Linked DNA regions of Caenorhabditis elegans. The protein of the gene in region 2 purifies or fractionates together with the protein of the main gene of each other region. This does not show direct contact. Each region holds a gene or a part of one and is shown on either strand. Other genes may lie near its edges.

The links. Proteins that work in one complex are often made in the same cells at the same time.
Region 1: the proteins of T25D10.1 (region 2) and cyc-2.2 fractionate together in Caenorhabditis elegans (co-fractionation; one large-scale study listed by BioGRID). This does not show direct contact.

Annotation. Positions count from the first base shown.
Region 1 is NC_003283.11:12,611,155-12,614,028, forward strand, and holds cyc-2.2 (putative cytochrome c 2.2), read right to left. Parts: upstream 1,065-2,874; 5' UTR 1,064-1,064; coding exon 992-1,063; intron 941-991; coding exon 731-940; intron 683-730; coding exon 593-682; 3' UTR 528-592; downstream 1-527. Other genes in the region: cubn-1 (Cubilin homolog), read left to right, coding at 193-302, 353-482, 1,354-1,485, 1,529-1,638, 1,693-2,225, 2,605-2,874. UniProt on the Caenorhabditis elegans protein: Electron carrier protein. The oxidized form of the cytochrome c heme group can accept an electron from the heme group of the cytochrome c1 subunit of cytochrome reductase.
Region 2 is NC_003280.10:6,401,662-6,405,557, reverse strand, and holds T25D10.1 (uncharacterized protein), read right to left. Parts: upstream 2,158-3,896; 5' UTR 1,868-2,157; coding exon 1,699-1,867; intron 1,654-1,698; coding exon 1,487-1,653; intron 1,416-1,486; coding exon 1,316-1,415; intron 1,270-1,315; coding exon 1,140-1,269; intron 1,092-1,139; coding exon 1,018-1,091; intron 974-1,017; coding exon 867-973; intron 817-866; coding exon 580-816; 3' UTR 518-579; downstream 1-517. Other genes in the region: spp-11 (Saposin B-type domain-containing protein), read left to right, coding at 1-118; btb-2 (BTB domain-containing protein), read right to left, coding at 2,550-2,827, 2,869-3,019, 3,069-3,411, 3,459-3,553.

The DNA of each region.
Region 1 (2,874 bases), on a different chromosome or scaffold from region 2:
TTTTCATTAAAACCGAACACAAATTCAACGGCCCACTAGTTACTCATAACCTAAACATTGGCAGGTGTTCTCTTACATAATCTGTTATAAACAAATGGATCGTCTCAATTTCCAATCAGGTATCAATGACATAAACAAATTATTCACCCTCCACCGTGCAACTCCATTAATTTCATTTCATTTTCGCAACAAATGATACCTAACTTACAGTTATTTCTTTCATTAATACTATTCGGCTTATTAAATCATGTATCTTCAATTGACTATGAAGAAATACACATCGAAGATTCATATGAAACAAGGTAACGAATCCTTTAATTTTTTTTCAAAATTACGTCCGAAAACATTTCAGATCACGTATTCTAATGGTTGATGGAAATGTGTGGTTGCATGCCGGAAAGGATAAAAATATAACGTTCAAAACGACTGGAAATGGAAGAATATATGTGGACGAAACAGATGTTTCCAAACTTCCAGATATTGTAGGTAGACTGCTGAAATTATCCAAAAAAAAAATGAACGAGCTTCTACAAAACATTTATTTTTGATACGTTGCTTTGCTTAACACACAGATTTCTTATTTAGTAGAGGCTTATGCCGATGGTTTCTTGGCAGCTTCCACTTCAATAAATTTGATGAGATCAGCTCGTTCGTCAGCTTTCTTCAAACCAGCGAAGACCATCTGAAAATTTCTTATTAATACTCCATCGCACTTCCTAGAAAATCCTACCTTAGTTCCGGGGATGTACTTTTTCGGATCAGCCAAATAGTCGAAAAGTGTTTGTCTGTCCCATACAACTCCTTTATTCTTGTTGGCAGCCGAGTAGTCAAATCCAGCAACTTGTCCGGATTGTCTTCCAATCACTCCGTTCAATGTTGGTCCAGTCTTTGTTTGCAATGAGTTGACAACGTGACATTGCTCGCAACGTTGTTTGAAGATCTGAAAATCAATAGGTTTTCTGGGAACACTATAATGAAAAATTTAACTAACCTTCTTTCCTTTCTCATTGTCTCCTTCTGGAATAGCTCCACCGGATGCCGTATCAGACTTCTTCTTGCCCATGTTTCAAGAACTGATTAAAACATAGACGGTCAGATTAGAAAAAGGAACGAAACGTGGATTACGAGTAAGAGTTGGAATTAGATAGTCGGAGATCACGCAAAAATTTACTTTTTGACAACTATTTAAAAAGAATCACTTTCCTGAGAAACGGTCACGTAAATTTTGATAATTAAGTTCTATTATTTTTATAAAACTTTTCAAAATGAATAATTGTTTGAAAATGTTTGAACTATGGAAGTTTTTGAAAATTAACTCGAATTACAATTTTCAATATTCAAAATAATTTTCAGGCATCTTTCAAGCAACTTGTTGGACGTATTGAGAACACTTCTCAAATGTTCACCACTTTGAAAAGTCGCCAGGACACGCAGACTTCTGCAATGAGAGTGGTTTTAAATTCTGCAAAACATTATCTAGTAGCGGTAATTCCATACATTTTTTTCTCTTTTTGAAATCAATTTTTAGCTTCGAAATATGACACTCGAAGTGAATATCTTGAAGAAGTGGAAAACTGATAAAATGGCCAGAGACATGAGGAGACGGGGATTATTGGTGAAAATGACACGTCAAATCATGTAAGACACAACAAGTTAGGTTTGACTATTTTTTATAAATTGTTAACTTTCAAGAGGAATCAACAAATTGATAGCAATAAACGCGTGCGATCCGAACAAATGTAGTAATGGAGGCACATGTATCCCATCTTTTGGCGCCAAATTCACTTGTCTTTGTCCTCCACATTTCACCGGTACAACTTGTGAAGCTGACATCGATGAATGCTCAGTATACAATGGTACAACTGCTGGATGTCAGAACAATGGAACATGTATCAATAACCGTGGCGGATTTGAATGTCAGTGCCAATCCGGATATCATGGATCTCTTTGTCAGTATCATATGTCCGCTTGCTCGAAAACTTTTGAATTGTGTGGTCCACATGGGCATTGTATTGAGAGTATTGTGGATCCAACTGGTCAGTCATCTTCCGATACAACTACGTACAAGTGTATTTGTGATTGGGGTTTCAAGGTTTCAAGTGATAAGAACAATCCAACGTGTGTTGATGTCAATGAATGCGAATCAAATCCATGTCATCCAGGAGTTGATTGTATTAATTTGCCTGGATCGTTTGTGTGTTCCGGATGTCCAAAAGGATATAAAAGTAAGTTAGAATTATATATGTTCAATCAAATCAAAAATAAAATAATTTTTTTGGTTTAATTCTTGTCTAGAAAATATATACTCGTATCCAAAACGTTTTCATAAAATAGGTAAGTAGGCATTTAAATAGGTCAATAGGTGTGTGGTAGGCATGAGGTAGACACGTACGCCTGAACAAGTGCCTACCCTGTATAACACTTACAAATTTCAAGCTTTTTTTGTGAAAATACTTGTTTGGATTTCTCAGTTCCGAGAATGAGGAGAGAAAGTCTTATAAACTTCGGCTTAACAATGTGAAAAATCAGAATTTGTTAGTTTGAAGGTGTCGAAAAATGTACTGAATATCTGTCATTGAAATCCAAAAAGTAAAATAAATTCAGCCGATGGAAATGTTTGTATTGATGTCAACGAATGTGAAGGTGAAATTCGTGTATGCTCTCCGCTTTCAAAATGTCATAACACTCTTGGCAGTTATTATTGTGATTCGTGTCCGACTGGATACTCCGGCGATGGAGGAAATTGTGTGAAAGATGATAGTTGTGTCAAAAACAAATGCCATAAATTAGCAACATGCAAGGTAACTGACGACGGATACAGTGCTGTTGGAGACTACACTTGCTACTGTCCAGATGGATATGTTGGTGACGGAA
Region 2 (3,896 bases):
GACCATGTGTGTTATGTTCAAAGGAAATATTATGGACACAATTTTCAAGGGATTCGATGGACTTAAGAAGAATCTTGAACCAGTTTCATTTTGTAAGCACGTACCTTTCTGTAAATAATTGTTTTCTGTCAATTATCAACTTGTTTCTCATAAAATTATTTTAATACAAACATATTAGTAGTATATTTTTATATTTCCAAAAATTGAAGTCTAGTTACCCTGCACGTGTTTTTTGGTTTTCAAGATACATATATCTTTTTCTATAAACTTGCACAATCAATTGATGAAGTTTAAGACACGTTTGTTATCAAGTTTATTATGAACTCAGCTGACTTAAAACATTAAAAACATCCGTGTTTTTGTATACAGGCAAATTAAATTGCCGATTTTTGGTTGTTCTTTTGGCTCTGACGCTGTCTTCTTCTGGGTGGAAATTTAATTTCAATTTTTGGCTCAAAAGCTGTGAGTAAAATGTGATCGACGTTGAACAGTTTTTTTTTCCTGAAAACTGCATATACACAGCCTTAATGAATTATTTATTCAAAACAAAAGTTAGTTATTGTACAAGATAAATCGAGATCATTGAATTTTTCTTGACAATTTCTTCCATTTTGGCGGGAAATAGTCTTCTTGGTTCGCCGTTCTATTTTTCGGGAACATGTCTGGATCAAAATAGAACACGTGGCTATTGTCATCTTTTGCCAAATATCCCATCCACCATCCATGTGTTGAATATGGAACTGTCAAGAATACAACATCACAATAGATTCTTGAAAAAATAATTTGCATTTCTGGTGAAGAACTGATCAATGAAAACTGAAAAATGATAACAAATTATTAAGAAAGTTTGTACTTACTAAACTCACTTTTTCAGTTTTGTATTTTCTGATTCTCGAGTTCGTAAAAATGAAACGAGTAAATTCCGGAAACGGGCTAGCAATTATCAACATAACATCCTCATATTCATTGGTATCTGAAAACGAACGGCTAAAAATGGTCAAGTTTCAATTAATTTACAATGATTCAGAATTTGTGCAATTGCTTTAACACTGCAGTTCTTATTGCTTTCTAATGTTGCATGCACACAAATTCTGAAATAAATAAATAAAAATAAATTTTAAAATGATCAAAATGCTTACTTGAAGTTGTTCCGTTGAGATTTTGTAATCAAATTTTGTGCTTCTAGAACACTTTCGGCGTCTTCCAATACCCACAAGCGAATGTCAGAACGCAAATTATCAAAATATTTAAAACTTTTGAATCCGTTCCCTGAATAAAAAACAATAGACTTCCAAACTATATTGATCACTCAAACCTTTGACCATCAGACTTGAAGATGTGTCCTCTGAGAACTTTGTAAGAGGATCTTCGTACGAACTATTCTCGATTCCAAGTTCTCTATTCACTGCTGTTGGCTAAAAATCAAATTTATCATCATTTGAAATAATACATTTAATTGTGAAAATTTTTATAAAAATGCACTTACTGGTTCAATAGCAATTAAAAATTGTTGCAGAATCGATGGAAATCTTGTAAACATTGCGTTTGAAAGAGTATCGATTAATTTTGAATTATTAGCAGAATTGATAACTGGAATTCGATAAAGAGTTTTTGCAACACCAAGATGAGAAAGTAGAGAGAATAATTGATCGCCTAAATGGAAATTTATTTTAAAGTATGATTTAAAAGATTACTTGCCTATTTCTCCAGTACTATGCTGAAATCGAATGGTCTTCTGTCTTCGAGAATATCTTCCAAATTGTGTCCGCTTATGAGGATATAGTGAAATGATTATAAGAAGAAGCACGATAATTGATATGATGCATATGATTCTTGATGAATTTAAATTACGTCTTCTTAAGAACATAGTTGGTTGGAACTGCAAATGGCTTTCCAAATCCCCGCAAAAAATATCCAAATACGTGAGTAGTACTGATAGTGAGTACCCGTGGAGGGTCTTTGTTTGTTTTCGTTCACTAACTCACTTCAAAAATAATAATGCAAGTTTAATATTTAAAAAAAAGTAAAATTGTTGAATAAAGAATTGACTGTCATGGTGAATAGAATGTCAGTGAACAAGTTCAAAGTGATAAGAGTCTACTTATATTGACACAAAAGATCAATAAAAGGGTGTAGCACTGGAAGAAAAGGTGTTTTAAACAAACATTACATTTATTTATATATAGTTACAGCGTTTTTTATTATCTAAAAAAACTCAATTTCCAGAATATTCGTCCATTTTCAATGTTGGTTCACGTCATAAGCCATACTTTAAGCCAAGCCAATATTTACCAATGTTTAAAAAAAGGTAACAAAAATAGTTATGAGCAGTATTCAGCACTGCCATCTGATTTCGGATATCTTCTGAGTTCTACACGATCTTAAATTTCTGGCTAGATTTTACTAGTTAAATGTAACTTTTTTGAATAAGAGATAATCTGTATAAAAAAACTTTCAAATGCGATGCATTTATTCTTCCATAATTATACCACGAAAATACAATAAATACATAAATTATACAATAAAAAAACTTCAATCTATACCATCCTTTAGATCAATTGCATGAGACGATACAGGAAGAGCACCTTCGTTTCATCTGATAAATTCCAGAACACTGCCGAGTTCTTGAGGTTCTTCATTTTTTGAGTAGTGTCCACTTCACTGATAATCTTTTCGATGATTGTACGCAAATTGAATTTGTCTGCCAAACGCATCAATTGATCCTGCTTCATTTTCGAAAAGTGGCACAAATGAGTCTCGATATGAGCCGTTACACGTGGCACCTGAAATTGATCGGCCAGCTCCAACATCTTTTCCAAATTATCATCTGAAATAATGAATTCATATTAGTTTGAAGGATTGGATCACCTTTCAATAAAGCTTCATTTCCATACAAAACTGCCAGCATTCTCGAGAAATCTTCATATGAAACTTCATACATTGGGATTTCAGTCAACTTTCCTTCTTTGAAATTCGAGGAGAACAGAGCTCGAAAATATTCAGAATGGAAGCTCAGCAACTGGAAAATTATAAATATAGGACACTGCAACTGCAAAAAAACATCTTACAGCTTTATTGACATGCATCTTTGTACCTCCGATCACTAAAACGGCATCATTCCTTTCAGATGGCTTGAAAAGTTCTTCCAAAGTTAATCCAGAATAATCGGATTCTTTGTAGAAAATTTTGTACTTGAAAGGAATGTTGTACAACCAGTCTTTAGAAGTTTCCAAATTAGATGTGCTGCGTTTTTCATCAACAGAAAAATCAATGCTTGGAACCAACTTGTCGTTGGTTTCCGGGGTGATTGTTCCAAACAAATGCTTGACCCCTTTCTTCTTCAATTCGTCCCATTTTAATTCCCATTCAAATCTATACTTATTCGAAGTAGTTTCTGAGACAAACAATGAGCTGAAAAAGTATTGTATTAGCCGAAGTGGAAAAATCTTGAAACTCACACATTGATTCCTCCACAGTTTGTATCACAGAATTTTCCAAGCACTGATTTAATCGAATATTTGTCGCTGTTGACTTCAACACATTTTATCTTCATTTTTTTTCGAAGTAGTTTCGTTTCGAAGTTTCGAAGTTTTCAAATTCTAACGAAAACAATTAGCACTGATCAAAAACTGAAGAGGAAGAAAAACTCGTGGGACACGTGGAAATAAAGCCAGATGTACGCAGAACGAGTGTCACGCTATTATGGCCTGTAATTAAATTTTTTTTATTAATTTTGAAATGTTTAGTTTACAGTAATAAGTGAAAATTTGTTAATAAGTGTCTCGCATATTCGTGGAAGTTGATCATCAAGCTTTAAAAACTATTAGCGACAAGAATCCGCTTGAAAAATCATATCTCGATGGGACTTCACGGGAACCGCAGAGGTAGAACAACAG